4 linked regions of the Coturnix japonica genome follow. The protein of the gene in region 4 binds, or shares a complex with, the protein of the main gene of each other region. Links are inferred from orthologs where the notes say so. Each region holds a gene or a part of one and is shown on either strand. Other genes may lie near its edges.

Region 1 (4,264 bases), on a different chromosome or scaffold from region 4:
ACGTCTCCGCCACCAGCAGCGGAAAAACCAGCGAAGCATCAGCATAGACCTGCAGGAGAGGGAGAGGGAGACCCTCGCGTCCCCCCCAGCACCCCCCAAACCCCCTCCCTGTGCCCTCACCTTCACTGGCGTGGCGTCCATTCGGATCTTCCCCCACGAAACAGCCTCATCCGGCTGCGCCCCAGAGTCAGACCCATCAAACTCCTGAGCTGTGTTCACATAGACGGAGAAATCGGCACCGTTCCTCTGCAAGGAGAGGGAGCACAATGAGGGCACTGTCCCCAGTTGCCAGCCCCCCTAATCCCCCTCCCCACAGCCCCCCCCTCACCATCAGGTTGGCGTTGGCGATGTGGTGTTTTACCAGTCCCCCCCCCAGGATGATCATCCCTGTCTTGCGGGCAAAGATGGCCCTCGTGTTGATGAGCCTTAGGTCTGTGGGGGGGTACAGCTGTCACCAGGAGGGGTCCTGCTGTCATCCCCCCCCCCACCATGGGGAAAAAACTCACCTTCCACGATGTCCAGCACCAACCCCGGGTGTTTGTAGGAGTGGAAGAAGATCATATCCCCCAAAGAGCCGTCAGTGAGCGCTGGGCTCAGCACCGGGATGTTGTTCTGGGGGAGGATGTGGTGACAACAGGGGAGCACGGGGACCCCCATGGGAGTGTGGGGACCCCCCCCCCAGGATAGACGCTGGCAGAGATGCCCCCATACCTTCTGAGCCCAGTAACACACTGACTCGGGGTTGTTGATTTCCTTCCCCAAACGTGCGATCATCCGTGATGGCGTCCACCTCACGCCCTGTGGGACCCACAGGTGACCCCACATCCACCCCCCAGTGACCCCACGTTCCCCCCCACACCTCCCAGCTCCACCTCTGTCTCCTGCTCCTCCACCATCTGATCCAAGATGGGCATCAGCCAATCCTCAAACTTGCAGTAGTTATCATTGGGCACCAGCAGGTTTCCAATCCTGGGGGGAGGGTTGTGCTCAGACATCTTCATACCCCCCCATACATCCCCCCCCCGGTTTCCTCTCCCCCCGGGTGTCCCCACACCGGTTGATGCCGTTCTGCCGCAGCTCCCGGCCCCGCAGACTGAAGTCCCCCACGTAGGTGGGTGCCAGGCATTTAATGAGGTCCTCCTCCACACCGCCCGCTGTTGTCACCACCACATCCACCTGCCCAGAGGGGGGCAAGAGTGGGGGGGGGGCTCAGGGAGCCCTCAGGGCCAGCGCTGAAGACCCCCTCCCCCAAGGTACTGAGACCAGTGCGGCCCCAAAGCACTGGGGGCAGCATAGAGACCCCTGGGGACACGTCAGGGACCCCTAGAACCCCTGGGGACACTGGGACACCACAGGGACCCCAGGACCCCCCACCCACATCAGAGGGGAACCCCCAGGCTCCAACCCCCTCCCCCAAAACCACACCCACAGCCTCCCCGCAGTCCCCCCGTACCATCACACACTGCCCCAAGGTGCCCCAGGACCCCGTTACCACCCCCGAGGGTTGGGGAGGGGGCTCAACAATGTGAGGAACCCCCCACAACTCTCTACCCCATCTCTGTACCCCAGGACCCCTCTGTGAGCTCCCCCAGGACCCCAGCAATTGACTGGGGGGGTGGCTAACAAACTGAGGACCCCCCCCCATATCACCCTGTATCCCCGTTACCCCCCGTTACCCCCCGTTACCCCCGTTACCCCCGTTGCCCCCGTACCATGCGGTGCTGCACGAGGAAGCGGATGCTCTCCCGCACCCCGGAGCTGATGAGGTTGGAGGTGAAGCCCAGGAAGATGGTGCAGCCCGAAGCCGCCCCCGCGGCGCCCCCCAGCTCAGCCCGGCTGCGCTCAGCAGCGCTCAGCGGCTCCATCTTGGCAGCGATCTACGGGACGGAACCGGGTAAGGGGGGGGGAAACGGAACCGGTAAAGGGGGGTAATGGAACCGGTAAGGGGGGGTAATGGATCCGCGGTAAGGGGGGGTAAAAAAATTTTGGGGAAAAATTCCGGTAAGGGGGGGAAAACGGAACCGGTAAGAGGGGGGATTAATGCGATCCGGTAGGGGGTAGGGAAACGGAAACCGGTACAGAGGCAGGGATAATGATTCAGTTAAGGGGGCGGGAAAACGGAACCGGTGAAGAGGGGGACTATGGGAACGGTAAGGGGGGTAATGGAACGTATTACGGGAGATAATAGACCCGATAAGGGCGCGGGAAATGCGAACCGTAAGGGGGGATAATGGATCAGGTAAGGAGGTAATGGATCCAGCGTAAGGGGGGGTGATATGGAACCGGTAAGGGGCCGATAATGGACGGTAAGGGGGGAGATAATGGAATCCGGGTAGGGGATAATGGAACCGTAAGGGGGAAACGGAACCGGTAAGGGGGGAGATAATGGATCCGGTAAAGGCGGGGGGAAACGGAACCGGTAAGGGGGTGGTAATGGAACCGGTAAGGGGGGATAATGGAACCGGTAAGGGGGGGACGGATCCGGTAAGGGGGGGGGGTGCCGGTGCCGCCCCCCCGCACCATGCGGCGGATCTCGGCGACGGCGCGCGCGAAGTTCGTGGCCTGGAACCCGGTGGTGAGAAACGAGCGCAGCACCGCGCCCGGGTCGGGGCCGTCCGCGAAGTCGTATCCGCGAACCGGGAGCGTCTGAGCGGGGAGCGGGGCGCTGCGCTTCAGCACCGCGTGCAGGGCGGCGGCCGGGGCTTCCCCCGACGGCGGCTCCTCCGCGGGGCCGCTGAGCTCCGTGGGCCCCATGGGCGCCGCCATCTTGGGCCGCCCCCCTGCGCCTGCGCGGTGGAGGCGCAGTACGTCGGAGCGCCGCCATCTTGAAGAGGAAACGGTGGCCGCAGTGGGTCAAAAGGCGCCAGAAAGCGAAGCGTCAAACGGTGGAGAGCTCTGTCGAAAACCCAAACCCTGAACCTCTTAAACCCCAAATCCCGCCGTAATCTGCCTCTAAATCCCAATCCCCGAATCTAGGCCCACTCCTAACCCCCACAATTCCAAACCCTGACCCCAAACCCCCCCATCCTGACCCCAAACCCCCCCATCCTGACCCCAAACCCCCCCACATCCTGACCCCAAACCCCCCCACATCCTGACCCCACTCTGCCCCACAAAGACACACCACAGCCACACACCTCCAGCCAAATCCCTTTAATTCCTGCACAACGGGCCCCTCTGAGTCCATTGGGACCCCTCTGCCCCCCAGGGGGTCCCCATCTCTGGCCATGGGAAGGGGGGAGGAGGGTTGAGGGGCAAAGCCCCCATTCCTGGGGGGGGTCACAGCCACATTCAGCCTCCAAACTTCCAGACCTCCACCGAGAGCCCCCCGGAGGCAGCTGCCACCACGTCGCCCTCGACGCTGATCTGGGGGAAATGGTGGAGATCAGGAGAGGGTGGGAACAACGGGGCGTCCAGGAGGGAAAATGTGACCCCAGCCCTTACCCCATTGAGAACATCATCGTGCGTCCAGGAGCAGATGGTGCGGGGGGGGTCCGTGGGGACGTGGATCTGTAACAGAGAGACGCCATTTCTTCCTCCCCCCATTAAGATATTATGGGAATTGGGGGGGAGGCACCTCGCCAGCCTCACACAACCCAACCCCTCAATCCCAGTGTGGGGTGGGGGGGTCGCCACGTGAGGTTGGGGTCCCTCACCCGCATGGTGCGGTCGGTGGAGGTGGTGTACAAAGATCCTGCATTCTGCCACAGCCCCGTGATCTGCAGGCGGTGTCCCACGTCGAAGCGCTGCAATGGGGGCATTGAGGGGAGGGGTACGGCCCCAAAGACCCCCCTCCCAGCCCTATATGTGGCTTTATACCCGCTCCGCTCGGAAGTGGCCGTCGCTGTTCCCGAAGACGTGGACCCGGCCCTGGTTGTCCCCAGCCCAGAGTTGCGTCCCCCGATATGACATGGAGAGGAGGTAATGCTGCAGCTGTGGGGCAAAACACGGGCTTATGGGGCAAGCGGTGCTGCAACATTGTGGGGAGAAAGTGGGATGGGGAACAGTGCTGCACCCCAAACCCCAAATCCAGCCTTCAAACATTGATTATCAGCCCCCAAGGCGTGAATAATGTGAGGCGGATGGAGCCCCCAGCCCCACACTTGGGGGTCAGCCCCACCTGCAGGCGCTGCAGGATGCCGTCAGCACGGCGGTCGATGACCACCAGGGTTCGGTCTTCACTCCCAGATACGATGAGACGGTCATCGGCTGCCAGCGCCAACACTGCGCTGCTGTGGGGTTTGTAGGATCGCACCGGGGTCTG
Region 2 (3,295 bases), on a different chromosome or scaffold from region 4:
GCTCATCCCAGGGTCCTCCTGAGTGACTTCAGCTCGGCTGGGGCCTCTCCCAGGTGTTTCCTGGGTGATACTGGGGTCCCGGCCTGCCGCTCCCAGCTATGAGGGGTGCCCATGGAGGACAGATGTGGGATCAGCCAGGATTTGACCCTGAGTGCTTCATTTCGTGCCCCGATGTGTTCCCACCCTGTACAGCCATGGCCATGCTGTGATCCTACCTGCCCCAGCCCCAGCTTCATCTGTGCCCAGTTCTCTGCAGGGCTGTCCCTGAGCCTCCAGGGCATTTGGTACCCTGCTCTGTGCCTACTGAGAGCTCTGACCTTGCAGCATCTCCATCCCATTGGGTCCATCTCTCCTCACAGAGGAAGCTGGGGAGGAGAAGGAACTTTGCCACCCTGAGCTGCTGCCTTCACCATGGGGACCTCTACCCGAAGAAGAACCAGCATCACCCCCATCTCCCTGCCAGGGGCTGCTTGGGGCTGCTGGTGGTGGAGTCCTGGCAGCCTCCTCTAGACAAACCACCCCATCACATCTTGCTCAACCATTCAGATAGAGCAGTTTCCTCTTAACAGTTTGCTGATACTTGTGGGATGCAGGAGACTGTCCCAGGGCTATTTCCCCCATCCCAGTATGTCCAAACAATAGGATCTGGCCATGACCCTCACAACGTCCTCCTCTGCTCCTCATCCCTGGGGTCTGCTGCTCTCCATGTTAAGATGGAGATGCCATCCCAACCCATCCAACCCAAAGTTCCTTCCTCCTGGTGCTACAGGCACTTTCTCTGTGCCACCCGCGGATGCTGGAGCCAGGGCAATGAGGACCCAAAACACTTCCCCTGCTTAGGGATTTTCTCATTCTGGTCCAGCGAGGGGTTCACCAGCCTCCTTGTGTCTCTCTCATCTGCCCTGTGTTTTCCAGACACTTCTCTGATGGCAACTTCTTCCCTCAGCAGCTGAGGCCCCCCCTTTTCCACTGCTCGTACTTCAGAGCAAGTGCTTCGTGGCTGCTGCAGCATGGTCCAAGCCTGCACAGTGTGCCACAGAGCTCATAACAGCAGCCTGACAGCCCGGGTGGCCACCAAAACCATGGACAAGGCGGACAAGCCCAGTCCCTCTGTGAAGAAGCACGTACGGCTCCAGGAGAGGTGAGCACAGCCAGACTTTGCACTGCCCAGCCCTAAAGCACAGCCTCCCAAACTCCCCTTCTCTGGCCTATGAGCTGTCAGGGCTCACTGGGGACCCTTTGCCTCCTTTGCAGGAGGGGCTCCAACGTGTCGCTGGTGCTGGACATGAGCTCACTCGGCAGCGTGGAGCCCATCCAGCCCGTATGCACACCACGGGACATCACGCTGCAGTTCCTGAGGACATCCAGCCACGTGCTGAGGACAGAGGAGTTGCAACAGCGTGCCCAGAGCCTTGCACAGCTCCAGGAGGAGTTCTCGGTATGAGGGTGGGTGTGCAGGTGGAGGGGCACTGAGCATCTCCTGTTTGACAGCAACTTGCTCTCCATTGTGTTGGTGGAAAGCCTTCCTGTGCCAAGCTCTGCTCCCATCCATGAGGTGTCCCACCCCATTGGGGTGTGGATGGAGCTCACGCCAGCTCTGGTGATGCTGGGTCAGAGTCTCACTGCCTGCTGTGCCCGGTGAGGAGACACGAGCAGCACCAAGAGGGATTCCTCAAAGTTGTTCTCCCCTGCTGCAGAAAATCCCACCCAACTTCATCAGTCCGGAGGAGCTGGAGATCCCTGGACACGCCTCCAAGGACAGATACAAAACCATCCTCCCCAGTACGTGCCACTGCGTTCCTTCGTCTCACATTCCTCCATGTGCAGGGATATGTGTGTGCTGTGGGTGTCCCTGGTGTATCCTGGTGTCCCTGCTGTGCTGGTTCTGCTGCTGGCAGTTGCCTTGCAGGGGTGTAAGCCCAGCAATGGGGCAGTTTGTGGGGAGCTTCTTGGGGCATAAAGCACATCACAGGCCAGCCTGTGCTGATCCCTGCTCCATGTGGCCTTAAACATCCAAATTGGGAGGTGTAAAGGGTGAGAAATTGGGTCATCTTCAAGCACTGCGGGAAGGATGCAGGGGGCTGGTGCCGGCAGATGTGAGCATGGCATGGAGCTGGGTGGGAGAGCATGGCTCTGAAGGACAATCCCAGGGCACCTCTCACTGCCTCTTTCAGATCCTGAGAGCCGAGTGTGCCTCAGGAGGGCAGGGAGCCAGGAGGAAAACGGCTACATCAACGCCAACTACATCACGGTGAGCACACTGCCTGCTGGGGGGCACTTGGTGTCCCATATCTCATGGTACTGCAGGGCTGGGAGTGCTGGAGCTCTTGGTTTCTGCCCAGATAAGGTGTGTGGAGTGTGACATAGGCTGTGGAATATGGCTGAAGCTGGCTTACATTTAGCAGTGTGATTTTTGAGTGAGCAGAGCACTTGAACACGCTCCCTCCCAGATAATTCTCCATCGCCATGCACTAGTCAGTTGTCATGTGCAGGAAGCAAGCTGTGCCAATGGAGCACACCAGCCTGGTACCGACACATCCAGAAACTGCCTCTCCCCTCAGGGGGTTTGTTTCAATTCCCCAAAAAGAAAAAGGGGTGACTGTGGCTTATCTCCAGCATCCAATGAGGTCCCCAGATAGATGTCCCCAGACCCAAGGTGACTGTTGGTGTCCTCACAGCAATAACCTGGGGGTGCTTGGATGGAGCATGGGTGCACAGGACTCCATAGGCTTGCTCCTGGTTTGCTGGTCTAGGAGGATGGAGAGGACTCCTGGCAGTCCCTGGCTGGCTCTGTGAAAGGATTTCAAGGGCACGTTTGGGAGGAAATAGACAGTGTAGGTCAGGCTCTCTGCTGCAGAGGACAAGCAGAGCTGGGGGGCTGAGGTGCAGACCAGGTGCCCCCTGTCCCTGAAGGGCTGTGTGCTCGGCAGGGCTATGCAGGACGTCCCCGGGAGTACATTGCCACTCAGGGACCCATGCTGAACACCGTCAGTGACTTCTGGAGAATGGTGTGGCAGGAGCAATCTCCCATCATCGTCATGATAACCGAGCTCCAGGAGCGCAAGGAGGTACTGCTGTCCCTGCTCTACAGCACCCTGACCTGGAGGGGGTGGGTAGGGAGAATAACAGCAGCAGTGGGATGGTGTGAGATCAAAGGTGGGGCTGAGCTTTGCCCTCAGAGGGCACCTTCTTGGAGGAGAGTCCCTGGGCTGCAACTTGGACCCCATCTAGCAAAGCCTCCTCTTCTCCATCAACTTCACTTGCTCTGGATGTGCTTTGCTAGATGAATAATAGG
Region 3 (4,107 bases), on a different chromosome or scaffold from region 4:
TAAGAACTTTATTTTAAACTACTGCCATCAAACGTCACTGAAAATGCCCTGAAGATGACAATCAGAATGTATTTTCTTCCTAAAATATTATAGTCATCAAGGAGGCAAGTTTTCCTTATATGAATGTGGAAGCATTTGATAGAAATACACATCTACATATATCTTAGTTGAGATGATATTTTGATTGTTTTTTTCAAACCCAAACTCTGAAACACGACTCATCTTGTCTGTGGTGTTAAAAAAAGGAATCAATGCACACTGTAAGCCACGTCAATTAATAACATGGACTACGAACAGCAAATTGCATTTTATCATTGCATCGAGCCAGCTGGGACTTGCCACAGTGTTATACTGAAATTGTCTCCATCTCCATCTCTCGGGCCATCACTTGATATCACACTTGTTTGTTTTCTAGATGGACCTATTATTTTTACAGCGCCAGCTCCACAGAGTTGGCCGTCACAGCCAAACCATTTACCTGCGCTGAGCACAGCCAGCGCTCAGGGACGGGACAAGCTTTACAGAACGCTTTCCAGCCTTTCATCTTGGCAGCACGGGCTCTGTCACAACCCCGCTGCGGTGCCACCTTAGTGCCACGTCCCATCAGCATCACGCGTGCCGGCAGCGCGGGGAACGCGGCCGCCTTACGAGCGGGATTAGCCCCCGCGGAACGACGTTACCCCCGCGCCGGCAGCGGGATTAGCGTCCAGGCCGGGCTTCTCCCGGGTTATTTTCGCTGCTGGCTTTTCACTTACCCCCGCGGCTAAGCCGCTCCCGGTCTCGCCCCGCCGCGCCCCCACGTCCTTCCGCTGGCAGCGGCGGGCTGGGGGGCGCCGGGACCGCGTCCGCGGACGGCAGAGGGGCGGCACGACGCGGAAAGCCGGGGTGGGGGGGAAGCAGCGGGGCGAGCCGGGAGCTCACCCTGCGTGAGGATCAGCTGAGGACAGGGCCGGCAGCCCGCCCCTCGTGACAACGGAATCCCCCCTTCTTCCCCCCAGCGCCCTGGCTCGGAGCGGCGGTCGGGGGGGACGTGGGGCTGAGGGAAGGGGCGCGGGGGGCAGGAAGGGGGAAGGGGGCCAGGAAGGCGCCGCCGGAGCCCCGCGGAGAAGCGGCGGGGCCGGGCCCGGGCCGCGCCCCCTCACCTGCCCCCGCCGCCCCCACCCGCTGCGCCGCGGCCGCCGCTTGTTTGCACTCGGCTTATCCGGAGCGGAAATTCCTTTCCGTTTTTGTGAATGACAAACTCATTAACAATTCATCAACACAACCTGTTCCAGCCGGCCCGTCGCCGCGGCAACAGCCCCTTCCGCGAGCCCCCATTGGCTGCGCCTCAGAATGTCTCCATTGAGCGCGGCGAGGCCGAGCCCATTGAGAGCCGCTGGGTGAGAGGAGACAGCGCTCCGGGCAGCGCCGGCACCGGGGCGGGAGGGAGAGAGAGAGGGAGGGAGCAGCCCCGCTCTGCGCCGAGCCGGGCAGCTCCGCTCGGAGGCACGCTAATTGGATTTCATTCACTCAGGGCGGAGGAAAAGCCCAAGGGCTCGGGCTGCAGCGGCGATTAGGCAGGTTCATTCAGGGATTCATTGACAAAAAAAAAAAAGAGAGAGAACGGGCAGCAGGCAGCGCGCACGCACACGGAGCCGCACACACACACACATAGATAGACACACACAGACACACACACACGCAGCCGCTGCTCCCTCCCGTGGCTCCGCCGCCCGGCGCGGGGGAGGCGCGGGGGGGCTGCGTGATTCACTTCCCCGGGGCGGGGGGAGATAAGTTGTGCGGAGTTGCGGGGCCGCAGCCCGACCGCACGCCCCTGTGAGAGCGAGGGGCGCTTCCCGAGCCCGCTCTGCGCCCCCCGTCCTTCCTCATGCTAGATACGTTCAGACCCGTCTCTTTCGCGTCGGAAATGGCGATTAGTAAATCCGTGGCGTGGCTGAACGAACAGCTGGAGATGGGCAACGACCGGCTGCTGCTGATGGACTGCCGACCTCAGGAGTTGTACGAGTCGTCCCACATCGAGACGGCCATCAACCTGGCCATCCCCGGCCTGATGCTCCGCCGCCTCAAGAAGGGCAACCTGCCCCTGCGCGCCCTGGTCGCCAGCAGCGAGGAAGACCGCGAGCGCTTCGCCCGCCGTTGCGGCACCGATACGGTGGTGCTGTACGACGAGCACAGCCGCGACTGGAACGAGAACACGGGCGGCGAGTCCGTGCTGGGGCTGCTGCTCAAGCGTCTGAAAGACGAGGGCTGCAAGGCGTTCTATCTGGAAGGTGAGCGAGATTCTACGGTTCTGTCGGAAGGGACCGGGTGGGCCCGGGCACTGCGCGCTGATAACCCGGGTAGGGGCTTCTTCCTCTCCTCGCTTTGTTTAAAGGGGCCCCGGGGGCTGGAGGGCTGCGATGGGGAGCGGGAAGGACGGACAGACGGTCGAACAAGCGGACCGCCGTCCGCACAGCGCCCCGCAGCGCGGAGCGGCTCCGGGCTGTAATCCCGGGCGCTCTGAGCCTCACGCCGCAGCGGGAGATTTTGCTAAACCTTCATTTGGGTCAGTCAGTCCGTCTGCTGACACTGTGGCGTTTTCCTTTTTTTTTTTTGCCTGAGACTCGAGGAGGTGGGGAAACAGATGTCCCTTTGCACACTGAGCTCTCCCAGGCTTGCCGTGCTATATGTATATCTATCAGGTTGCGATTTTTTCCCTCTTGCTTTCCTCCCTAGGTGGTTTCAGTAAGTTCCAGGCCGAGTTTGCCCTGCACTGCGAAACGAACCTAGACAGCTCATGTAGCAGCAGCTCCCCTCCTCTGCCCGTCTTGGGCTTGGGAGGCCTTCGAATCAGCTCAGATTCTTCATCGGACATCGAGTCTGACATTGACAGAGACCCCAATAGTGCCACCGACTCGGATGGCAGCCCGCTCTCCACGAACCAGCCTTCCTTTCCCGTGGAGATCTTACCCTACCTCTACTTGGGCTGTGCCAAGGACTCCACGAACCTGGACGTTTTAGAAGAGTTTGGCATAAAATACATCTTGAATGTTACCCCCAACCTGCCCAACCTCTTTGAAAACGCCGGCGAGTTCAAGTACAAGCAGATCCCCATCTCAGACCACTGGAGCCAAAACCTGTCTCAGTTCTTCCCCGAGGCCATCTCCTTTATAGGTGAGACCCTGTTCTTTGCCAGCAGCTCCGTGGTGAGCAGCAGAACCCCCCTATGCCTTTCTCAGAAATCAAACAGATTTCGGGTGAGAAGCGGGAGCAGCGTTTCTCCCAGTCTCTGGGGGATGATGCTCCGCTTTCTGATCTTTAATTTCATTTATTTATTTATTTATTTATTTATTTAAGCCGGCTTAAAGGGGTGAAGGTTTGTTGAGGGGAAGTGTGCCTTGTGCAGGCTGCAGCTGCATACCTGGCCTGGTGCTGGGAATTCCTCTCTGAGCCGCCTGAGTGGAAGCTGGGGACTGAGCAGTGCTCAGGATGGGGTTATTTTTAAATCTCCTCTTAGGGGAGAGGGATAAGGCAAATGAGCCCCGAGCTGGTGGTGGCTTATACGTCTTTTGTTGTTTCGTTGGCTTTTTTTTTTTCTCTTGCTTTTTTCTTTTTTTTCTTTTTCCCTTTCTTGAGGTTACTGGAGAGCAGCATAATGAAAAGAAACATTCCGGGGATCTAAGTTTAGCTTTTAAATGCAAGTTACTCATAACTGGCAAATGTATAGTAAGGGCTTTAATTAAATCCCACGGTAATAATGATCTACCTCTCGGGCGCCGTGCCCCGGCCCTGTGCCGCTATCCGCCGGCTCTGGGAACGCTCTCCCGTGGGTTCGAAGCGTCCGCTTTCGCCTCCCCGTCAGCTGGGGGAGGGCTGAGATCGGGGTGCGGTGGGGTGAGCACCGTATTATCTGTTGGGAAGCTGTGCTGTAATCCGGTTGAATGATACCGGTAATAGTGGAGAATGTAGGTAATCTGAGCCCAGCAGGAAGAAATGTGGGCTGGAAGCCACAAAGAAACTAATCTCCAGGCATTGTAATGCATTTCCTATTTCAAAGGAACCCATTTTCAACCAATGTTGACATCCTGTTCCTCCTAATGGGCTGTCCCCTGTGACTTCCCTCATTCT
Region 4 (3,560 bases):
CTCTATCACATTCATAGTAGTTCAGTTATAGCAGTTATGTAGCTGATGAAGACCATAGGAACATTTTTAAGAAATTTCCACTAACCTTGAGATCACAAGTGGTGTTAAGCAGCAAATTTGAAGGTTTGAGGTCACGATGAAGCACATTGGCTGAATGGATATATTTTAACCCTCTCAGAATCTGGTAAAGGAAATAACAAATGTGGTCGTTGCTGAGGTGTTGAGTCTTTAAGAGCTTGTAAAGATCTGTTTCCATAAGGTCTTGCACAATGTATCTGTAAGGCATCAGATGTAAGGCAGCAAAACAAAGCTGGTGGCATGTTACATATTAACCCCCAGTACCAAACAAAACTTCTAACACCTTTTTGTTTTTTGTTTTTTGTCTTCTTCTATTTGCTTCACAACAATTGGAACTACTTGCTTTACGGACTTCTAATCAAATCAATCCTGATACATGATAGAGACCCTTAGAGAATTAAGAGGCACCAGCATGTGGTCCCCCCAAGATAATCAAACTATTTCCTTACATTAGAGACTAATCTATATTGGAATCTTACAGTTAATGCTTTCTATCCTGCTTGCCAAGAAATAGAAGTTGTTTTCATTTCATGAGTAATAAGCCAAGATATTTGCTTCCTGCTGCACAAAAGCTTCAAGGTGGAAAATCCAATCACTTCTGATCTGTCTCTGGCACTTTCAAAATGCTCTCCTTTACTACATGTTTATCATGCTATACTGGTAAGCAAAGGACTATTTGTGCTCAAATTAAATCGTAGTACCTTCCATCATATTTTCTTTCCCAAGACTGAAATTAACATAAAGGGTTTTATTCTGCTTTGACAAAAATGAATTGAGCCAAAAATTTCCTTTCCTTTAATTCAACTCAGCTCCAGAACTCCTGGGGCGTAGTTCCATGACCGTTTTCCACCAAAACAGGATTAAAAAAAACTAACAAACCCACAGCCCCAAACACCAAACACTTCTACTGCCGTCTCAGCTGGGCATTTCCATCCCATCCTTTGCATGCTCAGATCACACCACACAACCAGGACACCTTTTCAAGAGCACACACTGACAGCAGCCAGTGGCCACAGAAGACTGAGCTGAAAAAGCACACTGCTAATTAACGAAGTGAGAACATTTGACCCAGATTCAGTTCAATGCCCTGTGCTTTTAAACAGGCAGACATCTGTGAAAATCTGGGAAGCCAACAGGAAACTAGATATACAGACTTAGTGAAATGATGCGAGTTGACTCCAAACTAAGGTTGGTATCACAGGCAGAGCCTCTCAGCTGTGACAGCCACAAGGTTAGACAGACACATGAAGCCAACAACGAGCACACATTTACCAGCTCGTGTGTCATTTCAGACTTCATACATGCAAGAAGCATTGCAGGGCTAGAGTAAGGGGGGAGGGATGTTTGGCCTCATTTATCCCCTCCCCCAAAATGGATCCTTTCCATTCGTTAGGAAAATCTTAGACAGTTACAGCAGAGCTTTACCATTCCATTTTCTCCTTGAAGCAACCTGATAGTTGTAACAAAGGTTCTGCATAAAGTGACTGTAGTTCAAAGACTGACTGGTCTAAATGAACACTGAGTTCTTTGCCTTGGAATATTTTTTTTAAATGTGGAAAAACCCAAACAAAACTGACACTCACCCAGGCACCAAACCTACCTACTAACACACTGGCAAATCCATCAAACACTACAAACTTCCACTCCTGTTTAAAATAATAAAAGCCAGCTTATTAAAATTTAGTAAGGATAAGGACGAATTGAGGAAAGCAGAGAAGGAGGTATCACTAAGCATAACAGATTTTGAAAGGATACACATCTTTCATTTGTTCAATAGTTGGAGCTCTGATAATATCATTTATTCCGATAATATTCTCATGCCTGAAGCGCAGTAAGATCTTTATCTCTCTCAGAGTTCTCTGGCAGTACGTCTGATGCTCAAAAGGACTGATTTTCTTTATAGCAACTCGAACCTTGTTGACGTTATCATAGGCAGAACTAGAACAGAATAAATAATACATGTTAAAATTTATCCATTCGATTAAGAAAGCAAGAATGCTAATTCTACAGAACACAGAGACTGCCCACTTGTTTTTACATTTATTTTTATCAAATGAAGGAGACAGTACAAGTATCTTTTAATTTGATGACACCGCAACAATATTTTTCTTCAACATATTTGGGTACCTACAAGTCATGACCTTTGGCAGCCAACTTTTAGTCTGCCGAATCCCAAGGACCTGAACAAAGACAGGCACGTTCACCTCCTTCATCACCCCGTGGAAAAAGTAAGTTTGACTCTTTTCTTGTACACTGTGATCAAGAAGCAATTTTAGGCAAGAAGTGAATCCTCGGCAAACCCATTCACTTTGGAAACGCTCTCAGAAGTCGTCTTTCAAGCAGCAGAATCCTACCCCACATCTCACTCCTCCACTGAACTGCATTTTCTGCACCTCCATGAACAAGGGAATGGGGAACTTGTGAGGACTCCTCCCATTTCAATTCCAAAGACAACAGTTCCAGAAAATAAACACCCTCATTTAGCGAAAGCAAGGAGCAGTGCTGTGCCGCAGCACGTGATGGTGCCCAGCATCAGCAAACACACCAAGGCCACACTGAGAGCACGCCAAAGTAAGAAGCACAGGGCAGCACTCAGAGCTACACCAACACAGGAGCTCCGGCCTCCTGCTCTGAATTCCCACCCACTCCCAGGGAACGTCACTGCCCCAGCCCAGCCATGAGGTTCTGCGGAAGCACAGCTCTCCAAACCACAGCCTCAAGTTATTACTGAGTGAAAAGGAAAGAATGGTTACACGGCTGTTCCAGGATGTTCTTTAAGGTCTTGTTTATATGAATGGCAATTATTATAATAATTTCTCTTTAATTACATTACCATATGCTTTTAATATAATTAGAATTTAAATGTGTTCATGATTTCTTATTCCTTTCAAATTTCTTCTTATTCGCTACTGCAATCTCCAGAATTCTTTAAAAATGCTTATCAAGCCCATACTTCACATTTATTGGCCTCAGCCATTTCACAAGAAAATACACCCCTTTTACTTCTCCCTCCTCCCAGAATCACTTTGACCTGCTCAGACCTGTAACTCATCTATAAGCACAGACCACATGCAAATGTTACATGCCTCTGGCAACACTGAACTCCAGTGCTCCACACGTGCTCCAGAATTCCCTGCACTAAGCATTCATGACACCTGCTGTTAGTACATATGTGTATCCAACACATCAGCAGCCCACAAGTCCCAAACCAAACAACAAAACACCACCTCCCCAGCGGCTGCTCTCTGAGCTGATGGGGTGTTTCCAGCAGGCCAGAACGGGAAGTCACCAGCAGAAAACAGAGCTAGAAACTCTTAAGCACAAACAGCCTGTACTTGGGAATAAAACAAAGGAGTCTTATAGATTATTTGATTGTTTTAAACAAGCTTACTCTCTTCTTTGTATTGACTGGAGCCTATGTGAAGAACCACCACGTATCAGGCAGGAGCTACGAAAAGTAGGTGACTGCAAAATGCCTGACA

What was found.
Region 1: the proteins of MAPK1 (region 4) and DHPS are in contact, whole or in part, in a cryo-EM structure (PDB 8PVU), measured with the Homo sapiens proteins. The link is inferred for Coturnix japonica from reciprocal best matches to the Homo sapiens genes MAPK1 and DHPS. Residues at the interface, in NP_002736.3 of Homo sapiens: Tyr113, Tyr187, Ala189, Thr190, Arg191, Trp192, Arg225, Lys231, His232, Tyr233, Leu234, His239, Lys259; in NP_001921.1 of Homo sapiens: Arg159, Glu160, Asn161, Asn164, Asn173, Glu174, Tyr176, Cys177, Glu180, Asp181, Met184, Asp188, Asp243, Phe247, Tyr250.
Region 2: the proteins of MAPK1 (region 4) and PTPN7 are in contact, whole or in part, in a crystal structure (PDB 3D42), measured with the Homo sapiens proteins. The link is inferred for Coturnix japonica from reciprocal best matches to the Homo sapiens genes MAPK1 and PTPN7. Residues at the interface, in NP_002736.3 of Homo sapiens: Thr185, Glu186, Tyr187, Val188; in NP_001351807.1 of Homo sapiens: Arg124, Tyr125, Lys126, Ile128, Asp257, His258, Ser292, Ala293, Gly294, Ile295, Gly296, Arg297, Gln335.
Region 3: the proteins of MAPK1 (region 4) and DUSP6 are in contact, whole or in part, in a crystal structure (PDB 2FYS), measured with the Rattus norvegicus proteins. The link is inferred for Coturnix japonica from reciprocal best matches to the Homo sapiens genes MAPK1 and DUSP6. Residues at the interface, in NP_446294.1 of Rattus norvegicus: Glu79, Glu107, Thr108, Leu113, Gln117, Leu119, Asp122, His123, Tyr126, Phe127, Gln130, Thr157, Thr158, Cys159, Asp160, Tyr314, Asp316, Asp319; in NP_446335.1 of Rattus norvegicus: Arg64, Arg65, Leu66, Gln67, Lys68, Gly69, Asn70, Leu71, Pro72, Val73, Arg74.

Annotation. Positions count from the first base shown.
Region 1 is NW_015439889.1:91,875-96,138, reverse strand, and holds the start of DHPS (deoxyhypusine synthase), read right to left. Parts: upstream 2,803-4,264; 5' UTR 2,767-2,802; coding exon 2,521-2,766; intron 1,878-2,520; coding exon 1,713-1,877; intron 1,177-1,712; coding exon 1,055-1,176; intron 970-1,054; coding exon 873-969; intron 799-872; coding exon 712-798; intron 613-711; coding exon 507-612; intron 433-506; coding exon 329-432; intron 247-328; coding exon 121-246; intron 50-120; coding exon 1-49. UniProt on the Homo sapiens protein: Catalyzes the NAD-dependent oxidative cleavage of spermidine and the subsequent transfer of the butylamine moiety of spermidine to the epsilon-amino group of a critical lysine residue of the eIF-5A precursor protein to form the intermediate deoxyhypusine residue.
Region 2 is NC_029541.1:737,172-740,466, reverse strand, and holds part of PTPN7 (tyrosine-protein phosphatase non-receptor type 7), read left to right. Parts: intron 1-915; exon of another isoform or gene 916-949; 5' UTR 950-1,010; coding exon 1,011-1,141; intron 1,142-1,254; coding exon 1,255-1,438; intron 1,439-1,697; coding exon 1,698-1,782; intron 1,783-2,174; coding exon 2,175-2,251; intron 2,252-2,930; coding exon 2,931-3,068; intron 3,069-3,295. UniProt on the Homo sapiens protein: Protein phosphatase that acts preferentially on tyrosine-phosphorylated MAPK1. Plays a role in the regulation of T and B-lymphocyte development and signal transduction.
Region 3 is NC_029516.1:39,390,585-39,394,691, reverse strand, and holds the start of DUSP6 (dual specificity protein phosphatase 6), read left to right. Parts: upstream 1-1,291; 5' UTR 1,292-1,867; coding exon 1,868-2,270; intron 2,271-2,715; coding exon 2,716-3,153; intron 3,154-4,107. UniProt on the Homo sapiens protein: Dual specificity protein phosphatase, which mediates dephosphorylation and inactivation of MAP kinases. Has a specificity for the ERK family. Plays an important role in alleviating chronic postoperative pain.
Region 4 is NC_029530.1:397,272-400,831, reverse strand, and holds part of MAPK1 (mitogen-activated protein kinase 1), read right to left. Parts: intron 2,017-3,560; coding exon 1,834-2,016; intron 276-1,833; coding exon 86-275; intron 1-85. UniProt on the Homo sapiens protein: Serine/threonine kinase which acts as an essential component of the MAP kinase signal transduction pathway. MAPK1/ERK2 and MAPK3/ERK1 are the 2 MAPKs which play an important role in the MAPK/ERK cascade.